Linked DNA regions of Coturnix japonica. The main gene of each other region encodes a partner of the protein of the gene in region 5 in a complex. Links are inferred from orthologs where the notes say so. Each region holds a gene or a part of one and is shown on either strand. Other genes may lie near its edges.

What was found. The genes of interacting proteins can lie anywhere in the genome.
Region 1: MORF4L1 (region 5) and BRD8 share a complex: the UniProt entries of both Homo sapiens proteins name them as parts of the nuA4 histone acetyltransferase complex. The link is inferred for Coturnix japonica from reciprocal best matches to the Homo sapiens genes MORF4L1 and BRD8.
Region 2: MORF4L1 (region 5) and MBTD1 share a complex: the UniProt entries of both Homo sapiens proteins name them as parts of the nuA4 histone acetyltransferase complex. The link is inferred for Coturnix japonica from reciprocal best matches to the Homo sapiens genes MORF4L1 and MBTD1.
Region 3: the proteins of MORF4L1 (region 5) and SIN3B are in contact, whole or in part, in a cryo-EM structure (PDB 8BPA), measured with the Homo sapiens proteins. The link is inferred for Coturnix japonica from reciprocal best matches to the Homo sapiens genes MORF4L1 and SIN3B. Residues at the interface, in NP_996670.1 of Homo sapiens: Gln217, Gln219, Tyr222, Ser348, Tyr350, Glu351, Val352, Ala353, Pro354, Pro355, Tyr357, His358; in NP_056075.1 of Homo sapiens: Cys394, Arg396, Arg402, Ala403, Pro405, Lys406, Thr407, Tyr408, Ser462, Phe463, Pro464.
Region 4: MORF4L1 (region 5) and EPC1 share a complex: the UniProt entries of both Homo sapiens proteins name them as parts of the nuA4 histone acetyltransferase complex. The link is inferred for Coturnix japonica from reciprocal best matches to the Homo sapiens genes MORF4L1 and EPC1.

The regions. Positions count from the first base shown.
Region 1 is NC_029528.1:11,890,451-11,893,061, forward strand, and holds part of BRD8 (bromodomain-containing protein 8), read left to right. Parts: intron 1-286; coding exon 287-379; intron 380-603; coding exon 604-672; intron 673-1,342; coding exon 1,343-1,520; intron 1,521-2,171; coding exon 2,172-2,276; intron 2,277-2,611. UniProt on the Homo sapiens protein: May act as a coactivator during transcriptional activation by hormone-activated nuclear receptors (NR). Isoform 2 stimulates transcriptional activation by AR/DHTR, ESR1/NR3A1, RXRA/NR2B1 and THRB/ERBA2.
Region 2 is NC_029533.1:8,733,043-8,736,542, forward strand, and holds part of MBTD1 (MBT domain-containing protein 1), read left to right. Parts: intron 1-430; coding exon 431-508; intron 509-2,503; coding exon 2,504-2,622; 3' UTR 2,623-3,500. UniProt on the Homo sapiens protein: Chromatin reader component of the NuA4 histone acetyltransferase complex, a multiprotein complex involved in transcriptional activation of select genes principally by acetylation of nucleosomal histones H4 and H2A.
Region 3 is NC_029543.1:3,313,383-3,317,129, reverse strand, and holds the end of SIN3B (paired amphipathic helix protein Sin3b), read left to right. Parts: intron 1-58; coding exon 59-263; intron 264-640; coding exon 641-871; 3' UTR 872-3,247; downstream 3,248-3,747.
Region 4 is NC_029517.1:12,814,581-12,818,080, reverse strand, and holds part of EPC1 (enhancer of polycomb homolog 1), read right to left. Parts: intron 2,583-3,500; coding exon 2,437-2,582; intron 2,351-2,436; coding exon 2,144-2,350; intron 1,743-2,143; coding exon 1,594-1,742; intron 413-1,593; coding exon 253-412; intron 1-252. UniProt on the Homo sapiens protein: Component of the NuA4 histone acetyltransferase (HAT) complex, a multiprotein complex involved in transcriptional activation of select genes principally by acetylation of nucleosomal histones H4 and H2A.
Region 5 is NC_029525.1:17,841,149-17,844,648, reverse strand, and holds part of MORF4L1 (mortality factor 4-like protein 1), read left to right. Parts: coding exon 1-59; intron 60-766; coding exon 767-847; intron 848-3,290; coding exon 3,291-3,353; intron 3,354-3,500. UniProt on the Homo sapiens protein: Component of the NuA4 histone acetyltransferase (HAT) complex which is involved in transcriptional activation of select genes principally by acetylation of nucleosomal histones H4 and H2A.

The DNA of each region.
Region 1 (2,611 bases), on a different chromosome or scaffold from region 5:
ACAGGTGCAAATCCCAGGCTGTTTCCTGGGGGGAGTGCAGGATTCTCATTTCTGTTTTGCTGAGTGGGTCCAGTGGGGGAATTTGTTGATGATTTGTCTGGCACTAGATTGTCCTTACTCAGAAGTGCAGGTGTTCAAACAGTGCTGTAGTGCCAGGTCCCATTTTTTATATTTCTCTCTGGCTTGGGTTACTGTAAGCATGACAAAGGCAAAATGAACCGTAAGGTTTCTGCGCCAGGGCAGTATGGAGATTCACAGAGGAAATCATATTCTGTTTTTTTCTCAGCTCAGTGTGCAGTGAGGATCAGGAAGCAATACAGGCTCAGAAGATCTGGAAGAAAGCCATCATGCTGGTTTGGAGAGCAGCGGCTAATCACAGGTGAGTTTGATGTCTTGAGAACTGGCAGAAAGAAGTGACTAATCTCAGGCAAGTCTGTACTTTCCCAGCTCTGAGGCTTTACCTGCCTTGTTATGGGGAGATGATGAATCACACTGTTAGTGATAGCAGACAAATAAACATGAGAGCATGACACAAGTATTTGAGAATTGTTCCTCTATTGGCAGGGGCAGGGCATTCACTGGAATCTCTCTCTATCTCTTTAGGTATGCCAATGTCTTCCTGCAGCCTGTGACTGACGATATAGCACCAGGCTACCACAGTATTGTGCAGAGGTGAGTCTCAGCATTCTTATGTGACAAGAACTCTGGTGTATTTGCGTAAGAATTTCTGCCAGGAAGAGTCTAGAGTTCATCCATTGTTCAGACTGCAAAACTTGAAAAATACCTTTCTTCTGACATCATTCATTGTATTTCCCTAAGAAAAAGGGACACCTTCAGTAACACATACAAGTCTGTACACAGCCCTGTCCTTGAATGAAATACAGATTTGACCAGAACATTTTTTTATCAGTGAAGTGGTATGTGACTATCAGCTTCTCTGTTATTGTCCAAGGGTTGAATTTAAGGTGTGATGTTCCCACAACCCGGATTCTTTAATCAGCTCTTTTATTGCCTCAGAAAGTCTAGATTATGGAAGAGTTACCAAAATGTGCCTAAATAGTCCAGTGGTTGTAGCTGTGGCTCCCTTGTGTCACACGGAATGCTTGGAGAAGGCAAATGCCTCTCTTGAGGCAGCTGTTACATGTACTTACCATTCCTGTTAACTGCTGAGCAGATTGTGTCTCCTGATCTGAAGCCTTGGAACTCAGGAATGCAGCCTATGTGGGAACATATTCTGCTAAATTAAATAGATGGTCTAATTAGATATGTTTTAGTCCTTAGACTGCAAATGAGAAAGGAGAGAGTTACATGTTTGCATTGCTATTTTGAATGTATTTCATAGGCCGATGGATTTATCTACCATCAAGAAGAACATTGAGAATGGACTGATACGAACCACAGCTGAGTTCCAGCGTGACATTATGCTGATGTTTCAAAATGCAGTTATGTACAATAGCTCTGACCACGATGTGTACCATATGGCTGTAGAGATGCAGCGAGATGTCCTGGAACAGATCCAGGTAAAGTACTGAGCTGAGGCTGTTTCAGAACAGAGTTGTCTGCATTGGTCCACAGGTACAGGAAAGACTTCTGGAAGTGAAAATGAAGTTTCACTCACAGTGTCTTCAAATGAATCCCCATCTTTGCCTGCTTGTACTAGCTTAGGTGTTTGTGGTGAACTGGATTGTTAAAACTAACACAGTGAGATGTTTGTTTGGCTTAGCCCAGACTAATTTCAAACCTGATTTCCTTTGGGGGTGCACATATGCTTAGGCCAGCAAGAACTGGGGTGTGGTTCAGGAACAGAAATGAGCAACAAGATCAGTGAATGACAAGGGACGCAGCTGCTGCTTTTGGTGACTGTCAGTCTGTGCTGGCTTGAGGCACATACAAAACTGTCCTGAGATTGTCCTTTGAATATGTATCATTAGAATTTCTTCTGAAGCAGAACGTCCCAGCTGCCAGGGCTGTCATAGTTTGAACTGGATTTTTATAGTCCCTCCAGACTTGTGGCTGCTGAGGTGAATGGGGAAACTTATTCTGAGCAGCAAACAAGGAACTGAAACTGTCTCTGACCCATTCGTTCCCAGCCCTGTGGTTTGTGATAGCTGACAAGCTTTAACTGAGCTTGTTTTGCTAGAGAATCTTAACAGAGTATGGTTTTCCTGCAGCAATTTCTGGCTACACAACTGATCATGCAAACGTCAGAGTCGGGGATCAGCGCAAAGAGCCTGCGTGGGCGAGACTCCACTCGCAAGCAAGATGCTTCAGAGAAGGTGAGAATGCTGCACCCTGCAGAAGGGCGGCTGGTGTCTTTTGGAGGATCTCAAGATACCACATAAAGTTCCAGTACCAAAGATGTGCAGAATGTGTTTTTAGATTGGAATAGGTCCTGCATCTTCATGTGAACAATTTACTGTTATTATGTTTCTTTAACTAAGTCCATTGATTAGACTTCAGCTCTGGGGATGTACATCAACCCAGAGATGGGTCTGAGAGTCATGAGTTATTTCTGCAATCCCTATGTTTCTGTCCGTGATTTCAAGAGCAAGTGATGAAAAGTGTTGTGAAATGAGGAAATATTGGAGGAAATATTGGAGGAGGTGTGGTA
Region 2 (3,500 bases), on a different chromosome or scaffold from region 5:
AGTTCACTGTTTTGTTGCCAGAAGATGCTTATTTGATGTAAGGGGAAAAAAAAGCCTGTATTAATTATGGAACAAGTCTGGAGAGAGAATTTGTAGTGATTGAAGTTAGCAAATAGATCTGCTTTGCATGCTGAATGGGATGGACCTCGGCATGTGCTTGGCTATTGCTGTGCAAAAGTGTTGGTGTGAGAAGACTTCATTCAGTACATGAGAACTTGGCCTGTTAGGTCAGTTTTTGTGGTAATTAATAACGGTTTCATGAATATTAGTTGCATAATTGGAAGGTGGTAGGAAGAGTAACACTAGTGCTGTTAGTAGTACTGACCAGTGATAGTAGTTTGATTGTAGTTTCTCAAAAAAGCTTTGTCGTGTTCTGAAGTGTGTTTCCAAAATAGTCAACTTTAATTTTGTACTCCACGCTTTTTTGCAGCATCAAGAGATAACCAGTCAAGTTCATCAAAACAGAAGAAAAAATCAAAATCACAACAGTACAAAGGACATAAGAAAAGTGGGTGACAAAACAGTGTTTGCAATTTCCCTGTTGCTTAAAAAGCTGTAGTCTCTCCCTAAGTCTCTCTTCTACTTGAAGTGCTGTTTGTATGTAAAACAGGTGTTAGGCTTAAAGGTGCAGTATGCCATAAAAGGAATTTTAGGAATAACAAGACAATATCTGTTGTTTTTTTTTTAATAACTTGCAGCAGGGTCGATCTCATTAGCAGAATGTGAGCTTTAGGTTAATACGTTAATATTGCTGGAATTCAGATCTTAATGTAAAGAGTGCATTGAGTAAGTTGGAACAGCACCTTACACCAAACTCTCAGACGCCTGAGCAAAAGGTGGCTTGTTCTTCATTGAGAAGCAGCATGTAAATAAAACTACTTTGGCGACTGTTGGAGACAAATAATAGCATTGCTTTTTGTGACCTTTTGTTGCAGGGGAGGCATCATAGTTACTACTCTTAAAAATCTGAGCTTTCTGACAGCTCCGTTCAGATTCTTCCCATAGTAATTGTTCATCTCAGAATCAGTTTTTCTCAAATCTCAAGCAATCAGAGTTTAGATTTGCACAAGTGCATATTTTGCACTCTTCCATCCGCATACTTTTGTGACGCTGTCTGTGACCTCATTCAAGGCAACCCAACTATATTTGTTATTTTTGGAGCATCAGCTCACTCTGCTGACTCATTCTCTTGGTGCTGTCTTGGAAGAGTGGAGTGCAAAGTTGCAGTACTTTGTGCTGCCAACACAAGGACAGATCAGCTACAGCAAAGGTCTATAATGTGTTGTCTTGATTTAGCAATTTGCTTTGCTTCTGTGCCAATCTATTTTCTAATGGGGCAGCCTAGCAAGCCATAAAATCAATGTCTTGGATGCTGAAAGTTACCTTAAGTGCAAGTCAGCAAGACTGGATGACAGAAATCTGTAACTGTCCTTTAATATGACTTTAGGAGAGGTTTTTTTATACAAAATCCTGTTCTAAGAAAGAACATGAGGCTTTTCTTACCATTAGAATCCATACGATCTTGACTATCTAAGGACAAGACTTTTGTCAGACAGTGCTGGGAGCATGTAAGCATTACCAGCTTCAGCGTTGATGTAGCTGAAAGTGGTGGAGACGGTATTCAACTGCTTGTGTTCCTGATGTGCTGTAATGAGAGGTTTCCTCCTACCAGAATCAGAGCATCAGCCTGTTGGGTTGATGTATCAAATGTGCAGTTTTGAATCTGAGTGTGAACAAGCAGAAATGAAGGGAAGAATTCAGCAGTAATACTGAGGAAGTATATAAAAATGCTGAGCTTGCTGAAGGCTGCTGTGTGCAATTAATCAGTCCTTGGTTATAGAAGGCTGCAGCAAAGATCTGGTAACTTTTGCTGTCCTTTTCCTAATCTGTTTCCTAATCTGCATGGCAATATAGAGCTGCACAGGTGATCTCTGGTACAGTGCAGTGCTGTGATCTGACAGGCTGATAGATTTAGCTTCACATTTGCTCAATTTGCACTTGTTTAAAACTTCCTTGAATGTGATGAGGGAATAATCAAATGGCTTGTGAGGTGCAGCAGGGCTCCAAGTACTAATGGGAGGTTATGGACTTCATTCTTAGCTTTATTCCATTATATTTCTGTATTTGAAGATATGTTGCTGTGTGTGTAAATGTTGTATTTGGTATCCATAGGCTTTAGTAGTCTTTTCATTCTGAGAGATCTGTTTATTTTTGTGTGATCAAGCCCTAAATGTGGGTACTGCACCTTTAAAGGAAATGCTGGTCTGCCTCATTTATTTTCCCTCTGCTCATATTTTAGTAATTATCGTTGTCCATTAACAAAATGGGAAAGCAGTTGTGCCATTATTGCTGTTTTCTGTGTGATGCTGTACATTAAAAGAAGAATCTCTACAATGGGAAATCTGGGGTCTGTTCCCAATTGAAATCATGTAAAGTAAACTGAGGGGTGAGTTGTGCTTACTGTGGATGTTACAGATCCTTACTGTTCATCTTTCATTTCTAGTGACTTCACTGCAGCTGAAGGAGGAGATGCTGGATGGGGAGGAGTACAGCTTCCTGCAAGGAGCCTCTGATCAGGAGAGCAACGGATCTGCCAGCTACTACATAAAGCAAGAACCATAAGGCAGCTCGGGAAAGTGAGGGCATGGGATTGGTGACAGGAAAAGAGCCTTTCTCCGAGACTGACTGGTTTTGTTCCCACTTTATGGTGCAGCGCGGATGGCTGCGCCGGGGGCACTTTGCTACCTGCAGAGTTTGACTCAGTTCAGAAATCTTTTAGAAGGGCGGGGAAACTATTTTAGTGAAAAAAAAGATTTTTTCAATTTATTAAAAAGGAGAACGGACACTTTTTGTGTTGTATTTGAAGCTTTTGCAAGAGTTTTGTAATATTTTCAAGTTCAGATCTATTGTGCATTGTTAACAAGAACTGAGAATCTAATTTTTTTGGTAAGATGAAAGTTTAAATAGCATGATGGTGGAAGCGCTTGGAGGAAGATGTAGTTGCAAATACAAATGAACTGTCACGACAAGTGAACCTTGTTGGTACAAATTGGGAGATACTTAAAACTCTTGTGAACTGCACCGGTCACACCTCTGTTCATTTTGAATTGTGAAAGAAGGCGTTTGAGCCCTGATGTGAAGGCGCAGATGGTAGGAGGAGGATCGCCCTGTAAAGCTCTACTTGGTGAGTAGCCCCAGTTGCAGTGGAGCCATCACCTGGGGGAGGTTGTTTTTTTTTAACCTTTTCAATATGTTTCTATTTAGTTTAAAATGTTTTTTTTATATGATGCTTTTTTTAATTGAAATACGTAGTTCCTTAGGGTCTGAATCAGTGCCCAGTAATATCGGTAGCCTTGTGTTCGTCAGCTGCAGTGGGCACTGGATTGGGACTACAGCTCTTTTGTCTCTACGTGGATATCTGTTGTCTTGGAACGCTCCAGCAAATGTTTACAGAGCCCTGTCTGCCAAACTGGAACTTCAGAAAATTCCCTGCTTTGGAG
Region 3 (3,747 bases), on a different chromosome or scaffold from region 5:
AAAAAGAGAGTGGGTAAACACGTGTGACAAATGCTTCATAATCTTTGTTTCGTTCCAGAAACCTAAAGAAATTTCGCAAGTGGCAATGTAAGCAAGTGAGAGCTCTGCGGAGTGAGGTGAAGAGCTCCTGGAAGAGACTGATTGGGGTTGAGAGCGCGTGCAATGTGGACTGTCGGTTCAAGCTCAACACCCACAAAATGATGTTCATCATGAACTCAGAGGATTACATGTACAGGCGGGGAGCGCTCTGCCGAGCCAAGCAGGTGCATCTCCTGTTACTCTCTCAGTAGCTTAGACTATAGCAGAGATAGAAGATTGCAGCCAAAAGACAGGTATTGATAAGAAGTCTTGCAGCTGAATTTCTGCAAACTGCATCCAGAAGTTACTCCTCTGCATCGGATGAAACAAGGAAGAAAGATGGGAAATGTTCTGTGCTTTAGTTTAGTTCAGCAGGTTTTTCTTTGCAAATTTTAAAGGGGAGTGGCAAACATTAAGAAATAGAGATCCTTAAAGGCAGCTGTGTGGCTTTTCTGTTTGTATTGTGTTGTATAGCATGCCTGTCTTGGACATACAAAGAGGTGGAAGTTTTGACTTCTTGCCCAGAAACCTCTCAGTGATTTTTTTACTTTTCTGCTTTCAGGTACAGCCAATGGTGCTGTTAAAGCACCACCAGCAGTTTGAAGAGTGGCACAACAGATGGCTTGAAGAGAATGTGACCATGGAGGCAGTAGATGTAGTTCAAGATTGGCTAATGGGAGATGAAGATGAGGAGATGGTGCCCTGTAAAACAACTTGTGAGACAGTGAATGTCCATGGAGTCCCTGTGAACAGATACAGAGTGCAGTACAGTCGCCATCCAGCTTCACCTTGAGGAAATTTGTGCCTGGGACTTGCTGGTGAAACACATTTACTCTGAGAATAGTGGTGGGAATGCAATGTAATGTATTAATGGTATTTATCCAAACAGCATTTTACTTTGGATTATAACGTATTTTCCATATGGCCTAGACTTGTCTCCTTGCAGTGTAATCCTCCAGTCATCATGAAGAGACCGAACAGCTTTAAGGAAGAGGGCTCTTGGCATTGCCACACACTTTTTAGTAGTTTCCTAGCCTTAAGCCACTGCTGGCCAGCCAACACAGGAAGGCAGAACGAGTGGGCTGGGCTCCTGGTGATCTGCCACTGGTGGCTTTGTTGGACAGGAGTTGGCTGGTGCTTGGCAAATGCTGGCAGCTGCTTCCACTTTTCAGAAGTTTAATGTGCCCTATCTTCCTGAATTTGTGCCGTCTTGAAGCCTGCAGAACTCTTCAGTGTAACCTCCAAGTGCCAGCGTGGCACTGATTGCCAGCCTTGCTGCAGGCTGCTTCGTTATCTGCGTGTACTAATAAGGCAACAAATGCAGTGTTTGTTACTGGTGCTCCGGTGAGAAAATGTTGAAAGTGAGGCAGAGGTGAACAGCATACTGATCACTCTTAACTCCTGCTCACCAACTGAGTATTCTGGAGTGGGAACTAAGGGGAAGAATCTCTGTGAGCTGCAGTGCTGGGGAGGAGCCAAGGCCCACGGTCTGTCTGCCCCTCTCATTGCTCTGAGAATTTGTGACCTGCTGCAGAGTGCTGTCTCCGATCTGAAGCTGCTTGGAGCGTGTGTGTGGAGAAGGATATCCACTGCGAGGTCTGGTCTGATTATTTTTGGTATGTTGCATGCTGACTGGCAGCCCCTGGAGACTGCAAACTCTTCCTTGTGTGTGCCCAGATTCTGCGGTTCTGCTGGGTTGTACCACTTAAATAACGGCAGTAGATGGAGCTCTTGCAGCACAGTGTTTGCTCTGGATCTGAAGTTTTGTCCCAGATATTCTGCTGTTCCTGTTAGGTCAGTGCAGATGCTGTGTTTGCAGTGACACACGGAAGTCTGTAATGGGGAGGATTAGATCCAGCCACAACCACTGAAGCTTTTCCACCAAACCCTCCTTACTTCTACCCAAGCTTTATTGAATAGAAGCAAAGCAAAATGTAACCTGAACCGTGCAGAAAACTGCATCAACTGTCAGACTAAACCTGTTGAAAAATCAAGGAAATTCAGCTGTGTCTGTCCTGCAGCCCCACTGTGACTTTGCTGTTGTTTTTGGGGGCCAAAGGCAAGCACTCTCATGGAGCATATGACAAACATAATGTGTTGAGGCAGGTCCAGCCTCTTTCAGCTCAACCTCCAGCTTTTCATGGCTCTTAAGGGAATAACCCCCCAACCTGGATACTTTTTTTGTGGCTTTGATTTTAGGTTATAATTTCAGCGAAACCTAAATAGCAGCCTGTAGGATTTGTCCTGGGTTATTTCCACTGTACAGCGTTGGGTTTTGCAATTGTCTCACTTGACCGTAGAAAAATTGGCCTTTGGGGTATGTTTAATACAAAACTGTACTGACTCTTTGTCTTTTTTGCAAATTAATCTGTGGGAGGGAATGAAGGAGGCCACTCTTTGGCATTTGTGGCCACTTGCACAACCACTGCCAGTGCAGAACTTCTCTTCGTGTTCTCATTGAGTGTCTGTTGAATTCTGGTTACTGAAATGAGCTCCGAGGTTCCTCCCCCTGTCCACATAGATATGGGAGGGCGAGGTGGAGAGGGGGATCGAGCCCAGTGCAAAGCACAGTAACCCTTTCTCTTCCAGTCAGCTTAACAGAATACACCTCAGTCCTGTTCACCTCTCTGCTGTCTTCCAGTGGAGATGATAACTGTGCCAAATTTTATGGTTTTATGATACAGAAAAATGTTTACTAGACAATAGGTTGCAACTCGTGGCTTAAAATGCATTTGATTCCAGGTGTCCCATGAGGGTAACACACCTGTGTGCCATCCTGTTCCATCTCCCCATTTTTTAAGTGTACTTCAGGTATTTTTAAGCATCCTTATTTTGTAAACTTCTAATTTATGATCTTGAACAGATTACGACAGACTGTGGCCCTTCGTAGTGCTGTTGTCTCAAAAACAGTGGTAGCAAATGATGTGAAGTGATGGGATAAGTGGGCAGTGCAGGTCTGAGAGTGCTTTGCTGATGTCTGAGAGTTTAAGCTCAGCTGTTGTACCTGCAAGCACCACCTCGAATCAAGAGTTTGTTCTTCCATCTTTTTGAAGGATCTTTGCTTTTGGGCTTATAATTGCTTTGCCAGCTCTTTGAATGTAGTTTGTTTGTTGTTTTTTTAATATTTATTTGCACATCCAAGTCAAATAAAATACTGATTTTAAAAGTCTGCAGGTCTCACTGTTCTAAATGGGTTTAAGATTTCATTTATGCCTTCTGATAACCCCCAGAACTGACTGTCATGTGCTTGAAACTCAATTTTCAATGGTAGAAAAATGCAGCTGGAACTTCCTATACACCACTTTCTGTCCATTTCCCCTTGTCCTGTCTCCACACACTGCTGAAAAGAGTCTAGTCTCCCCACTTTGACCCCCCCCCCCCCACCTCAGATATTCATAGACCTGGATCAGGTCCTCTCTCAGTCTTCTTTTCTCAAGGCTAAGCAGACACAGTTCACTCAGCCTTTCAGCTCTGTGTTGGTTTGTTCCTAGCAGCACCTTTGCCATGAGAGGTGTGCAAAACCGAGGTCCAGACCCAGCTTCAGCTACTCGTGTGCTCCACACAACAGCCCTTGGAGTGCACGATTCCAGTTCCAAAACCCATCAGCACATCTGCTCCAGGTTAAAGCTGTACAAATGCAACCACAAAAATAACCCCCACCCGCCTTCC
Region 4 (3,500 bases), on a different chromosome or scaffold from region 5:
ATTAAGCAAACTAAAGAGTAACATCACCACTCCAGCATCTTAATAGTGACACAAGCAGACCTCTCAAGAATATTTCTATCTCACAGCTATTAACTGGAATGTTTAAACTGTAAGTTGGAATTAAGCACCATTTGTTCTACTGCCATCCCACACAGAACACCCAATCAAGCACATTTTCTGTAGCTATATCCTAAAATGCTGCAGTTTGCTCAAGTCACAGCACCTAACGACTCTGTTACTGCCATTACTCACTTTGTTAACTTTATATTCTTTCAGTTCCATCGTTTCTTGATGTTTGAAAGGACTGCTGTTAGTCACAGGAATGATGGGAATAGCGTAAGTAGGTTTCATTGGCTGCCGCTGTGCCATGACCTCAGACACAATCTCTCCACTGTAATCACCCAAATTATACCTGTAATTTAAAAAGTGTAAAAGAACAAGACTGCTTTAAATATTGCTAGTGCTTGTCTGGTAAAAACACAGAACAACATGCAACAGTTAAACACAGAGTAACAGCACTTCCCATTTGGGGTAAGAAGGACTTCCAAGATGTCAGCAACAAGTTCAAAAATGACTATTGCAGGAGACCAACAGCACGCAGATTTTTTCTGCCATGCCCAGTTCTGACAAGGGGAACCATCTGTAATACACCCAACATAACATAATGCAAAGGGTTCTACAGAGAGGCAGAGCCTTGTGCACAAATCCCCTCTGTGCAACAGCACAGCTTTGTAAGATGTAGAACCATGAAACATATTGCATTTCAAGATCTGTGCTAATTTGATGGTCTGGATTTTTTTAGTCATTTTAGCCTTCAAGAGTTCACCTGCTTAGAAAAGCCAGTGCGTCTCTCTACTGGGCATGGTCAGTGCTTAAAAAAGAGCACCTGTTAGAAAGGACTGAGACACTCAGCTCGTGTTCCCAAGATCTCAAACTAAATCACAAGCTGTTTTGTTTTAGAGCCTTACAGCACTGACTCAAAATGTTTTAAGTTTTCAAACATGGATGCTTAGATCTGAGAAGTCCATTCAGATTCTAAATATCAACTGCTAAACAACCAACCCTACATCTCAAATGTGATTCTCAACTCATTGGGAAAGTGACAACTGACAAAGTGGAGCATTTGGTCTCTGCACAGCTGTTGAACAGGATGTCAACAGAAACAAGTTGGAAACAACTCCCAGAACAGTACATTGTGCTGAATGAAATGCTTGTTTTCTTTGACAGGATATTCCCTCATCTACACAGTTATTAAGTTTAACATTTCCATAGGAATTTACCTGAAGCTATAGTCTTCCTTACTACATAATACACAGGACGTAAGATAATTATGTTTTAACACACACGTAATAGAACAAAGCACATTAGCGATACCCATTTTGAAAAAGCAGCCTGCTTTTTTTTCAGTAACTCCCTAAATTCAATTCTGCTCTTCAGTGTCATAAAAGAGAATAGAATATGCCATATTGTTAACAAAGCAAAATGCAAATCTCTTTGCTAAGACAATATCGCATATTATATAAAACATTCATAGGAGCTGACATCTATAGCAGTTTCTGAAGCTTTCTGCAGCACATCTGCAATAACCATTACCTCTTTTCGATAATTTCCAGTGTTAAATGCAGCAATTCCCTCTTGCTCTTTTCCCTCCTCTTTATCATCTCCAGGATGGTTACTGCACGGCTCAGGTCTCGCCGCAGTTTAAGCATCTTCTCATAGGACGCTTCATCATTTTTTCGATTCTGTAGAGGCAAAGTGGTTCATGTTTTCCCACATCATTTAAATAACATAACCTGAACTAAACTAAACTGTAAGTGTTCAGTTCTTTTAAAACATGTGCTAAAACAAATTTAGAGAAACGTGTGCATCTACCAATCAGCTACAGCTTTCTACCATCACAAGTAGGTTTAGCAGCCAATTTAGAGAGAAAATAAATACTGAATACAAACTTCCTTCAGTAACTGGTCTCAAGTGCTTCATCTTTTTTTCCATCCCCCCCCTTACAAATTAAAAGAGAAAAAACACAAAAAGGCATCTTGTATTGTTTTACACTACGTAGCAAGTTTGTCTCTTCAGATAAGCTCTTATGAGAGGGAGGAGAAAGAAGAGGAAACAAGTAACAGGGAAGTATTAATCTACTTACTTTCCTTGTCTGCATCTTTTCTGTTCGTCTCCTAAAAGCAACGTAAGGATCATTTGTGCTGGAGCCATCTCGCTTCTCTTGTTTCACCGCTGGGATAAGAGAGGGCCCTCGACAGTTTTTCCTCTTTTTAATCCAGTACTCGTATACTTCTCTGATCAATTCATCGTCTTCTTTCAGCAACAGCTTGGCCTCTTGCAGGCTGACTGGCTAAATGTAAAACCCAGTATGTCATTGTCATAAGGCATCACAGACAAAGCGTATTTCAGAATTCTTTATTCAAAGCAACCCCATACCTGCTGGCCGCTGCCCTTCTCTAGTCGGTCTATCATCTCTTCAAATTGCAAAGGAGAGATATCCATCCTTTTCTTCAACTTATTGACAAAGACCTCATCTTCTGAATCCATGTCATAATCCGGCTGCTCAGCGTCCAAACTAAAAGCTGAATGATACAATTCAAGCTCAAGTCACTGATCTACTACAGAAACGTTCTGTTCTAACAGCAGTGTCTGCAATACGTGCCAGATTCTTCTGAAGACAAAACCAAAATGATGTTTGCACACTGTGCTAACACTACTCAGAAGTAGCATCTGCCTTTCTATTGAAATATCAAAGATAGACACTGATATCTACATAAACATGCTCATTTTAACTAATGAAAACTTTACAGTGTCTCTATATAGATATATATAGGTATTCATCCCCATTAGATCCAGTGAGAATCAGCTGGATTGGTCAAACCTTCCACCATCTCATGTTCCATAACTGTCCATGTTGTAGCATTCATGTCAGAAGTTAAGACTCCAGCTTAAATGCATTAAGAAGCTCCTAGAGAACTACGTGCACAGCGTAACAGAGACCTCACAAATCACAATGACTTGTGATAAAAAAGGTGTCAGACCAAACTCGTCCAACAGCATCTCCTATGTATGCATTGTAGCAAGGGACCTTCAAATATAAATCACGTATAGCAGAACAAGCTGTTCAGTTTTCCACAACATCCTCTGAAAATACAACATTCAGCATCCAGCACATCCCTGGATCTCAGTTTCATGCCAACTGCTTTGGTTCCCAAGAATACTAATTTCTTAAGGATTCATTCCACACTGTGAAAAGCATCACTGGCTTTTAAAAGATGCAGCTGAATGTTGTCATAGCAACTGAGAGACCACCAGAAGAAAAGGAAGAGTCAAAAACTGCACCTTGGTATCAGCACATAAGACTCCTGGTATTAGTCTCTCCATTTGCTTATTAGAGCATGCTGTTCTGCTGCTACTTCAGCTTATTACTGAAGATCAGACTGACAGAGAAGCTTAACATTAAGCCAGTTATCAACACATAATTACACATATGTACACAC
Region 5 (3,500 bases):
GTGCTCAAATACGTGGATACCAATTTGCAGAAACAAAAAGAACTTCAAAAAGCCAATCAGTAAGTATTTTGTCTTAGAAGTTGTTCTCAGCAGAATCACTTGTTCTCTGGAGCTTCAATCCAACTGCAGTATATCAAAGGAGGTTGGTAAGTTCACAACAAAAAAACTCAACAAACACCTTCAAGAAGTATGCATTTGTCTTTTTATTCTTGAGGTGCTTTGACTTGGGGGGGCGGGGGGCTGGTCTTTGTGCTCCAGAAGCTTAAAGAGTGAACTGCTCCTTAGTTTTAAAACTGACTTGAGATTTTAATGAAGAGAAGGACAATGAGATAGGCAGGCACAGTGACTAACTGGAAACATGTTATATAATGCGGGAGTGAGGAGACTAAAAACAACCCTCCTGCAGTATCCTTACAATGTACTTCTAAGCAGTGAGGTCAGTCTTCCTAGGAAACACTTAAAAACTTTCTGGACTTGGTCCTAAACAGCCTTTTCTTCGTATCGTATCTTACTTTTTATAGCAGTGGTTTGCTGTTGCTTCCTGGTCACTGAATAACAAGGATTGTGGGAGGAGGTGTAAATGGGAGGTTATACCTTGAAGGGTTTGTTATATGTATAAGCCTAAAATCATCTTGCTATTTAGTAGATTTGTTCTTCTGAATTATTTGCTATCTGTTCTCTAAATGTTTGTGTAACTGTTGACCTTTTGAGGGAAAACATGCTTCTTTTTCAGTTAGACTTATTGCCAAATTTATTCTTTTCAAAGGGAACAATATGCAGAGGGGAAGATGAGAGGTGCTGCTCCAGGCAAGAAGACATCTGGTCTGCAGCAGAAAAATGTTGAAGTGTAAGAGGCTTTTTATTTAAAAACTGTTGCTTATAAGTCATTCTACTGATCTTTGAATGGTATTTTCTTACAGTTTAACCTCCATTCTATTACTCCTGACACAACCTGTACAGAGGTTTACTTTTGTGGTATCTGAAAGGCCTTTGTTGCAGTACTGTATTAAAACCATTTTCTAAGATGGAACAATGTTTAATAATGAATCAAGGTACTGAATAGGTTGGATGTTAATTTTATAGTTCTTTTGAATACTATTTCCCTCAAGTTAGTGAATTGGCACTCAGATCTGGTAAGTTTTCTTGTTTATCTCAGTGAAATTGAGCAGAATTTTTTAGTTCTTCTATGGAGCCCAAGCACTGATGCAGAAAAAAGTCCTTAAAATGCCTTGCCCTCTTACTGTGCAATTTAAAAATTGCCTTTAGGAAGCCTTTATTTTGCTGTCTTTTTTGCCAAATCTGAACACGTATGCTGTTAAAACATTTTTGCACCTGAAGAGACCAGAAGCAAGCTCAGATGTTCGTTAGGAGAAAAAACACAAAATGTAACTTTCAGTTTTCTTTCATTTCATCTTTTTTGTTTTTTTCACAATAAGATGTATGGCCTTACACTTAGGTTCTTAAACAGTCAGTACAGTTCTGCTTTGCTTATGTGCCATGAAACTCCTCTGCTGGACCAGTACTGATTTAATTATGTAGGTGCTCGTTACCGATGTGATGTTTTGAACTCCTGACTTCATTTGTGATTCTCATCTTTGTGAGGGAGCTGCTGAGATGGCATCATTTCCTAGGAGAAATTGGCTCATGTTTCATGCCTCTTTTAGGGGCATCTTTGTGTTACAAAATGTTTCATTGGTTTGAGAAGTGTGGTGGCAGTGGATGAAGGCCTTGTTGCTGTTGATCCTGAGTGTAGATTTAGCTGTGGAGTTGGCCAAACTCTACCCAAGGCTGTAAATTGTATCTTGGTCTTTGGAATGGAGTTTCACATGGATCTGGTCACAGTGCTACATACAAAATCCCTTGTTCTACTGCTGCAGATTGTGAGGTGCCTTAGCTACACTGGTTTTGTGTGCTTTCTCAGCTTGGGATGGGCCTCTACAGAGTTCTTAACGCATGTCATTATAAACTAATCAAAGCATCTAAATTGCGACAATTACTAATGGGGCTAATTGAGAGGTTGTTGCACTTGAGTCTATTTGTATTTTAGCCTCTGGAAGTAGAATTAATTCTTTAAAATAGGTAGTGATGGCTCAACTGAAAATGTTTTTCGTGACTCTACCAAATGCCTTGCAGAGAATGTCTCAACAGTTCCTTCAGGACTAGATTCCCTTTACTACCAGTTTTGGTAATGTTAGAGGCGCAGGCTGATTGCAGTGGGTTAGCTTGCTCTTTCCAGCTGAGAAAATGCTAAATGCTAACCTACACTAGAACTGCATAGAATTCAAAGTAGTCTTAATTCTCTCAACCATGTATAATCTATATCTAAGGTAGACTGGCACAGCAAAATGGACTTCATCTTAAACTTCTGTTCAATTCCAAAGCTCAAAAGCACGTTACCAGGTCTGTCTTTACTCTCCAATTGAAACCAGTTGGCTGAAGGGAGTGGCTTTGCTTTTTGCTATCGTCACTTATAGTAAGCATGAGGGATTGTTCCTTGTGTAGAAAAACATGCAGTAAACTAACTCTGAAGCTCTTCTTGGTGGTTGGAAAAATTAATTTCTAAACAGTGGATTATTAATGTAGTGAGGGGGAGGAAGGAAAACTCTGGTCACTGGAACAGCAGTCTTCTGATGTGAAAGATAACAGGGCCTCATGCTTGTTGCACTGATCTTGCTCCTAGTCTCTAGCTATTACCGGCATCCTTCTAAATTAGACCTCTGGTTCTTCCATTAAGGTCTCCCTATTTTTCTTCCTGACCTGAAGGCTGAGGGAGAGGCAATGCTTTGATCTAACCTAGCAGTGATACAAAGTTGTAATGCTGTTGTGTTATTGAATGGGCTACTGCTGCTTGTGTTCTGCTTACAACTAAATGCAAGATGGCTTCTGAAAACCAAAACATCTGCAAATAGTTTGAAAAACCTGGATTATTCTGCTGTAAATCTAAGGTCTTTGCAGGTACATGAAATGATGGTGGTGGGAGGGGGAGCAACCAATTGAGCAAATATTCTAAGAGGGTAATGCTGTCTACCGAATTGGCCTCAAAAGTTACCTTTTGTAGCATTCTTGGAGGATTGAACAAGGGGAGAGAACTTGCATCATGTAATTTATTCCTCAGCCAAACAGTAGTGAAAAGGAGATAATAGTGTAAGAACAACTTATCCTCCAGGAATGCTCAGTAAATCTATAACATGCTGCTAAGAAGGTACATTTTTGAATCTGAAATAGATTCTCGTAAAGGCTGAGCGCTGGGTCTGACATTCTTTCCTTAACTCAACCCCCATTGTGCCTAGATTTTTCAGACGAGATGGAGCGCATACTGTTTGCTGTTTGGAGACCCCTACCATATCGACGCGGTGAGTTAAGGATGGATTGTCAAACCAGGATTTTCATCCTGAAATCCAAACCTCCTTGCTTTCATAGATTTCTTTTAGAGACTCTTAAAGTCTTCAGTTGTAATAATGTAAGCTTTGGTAGCAATTGACTTAACAATTCTAAGTGCT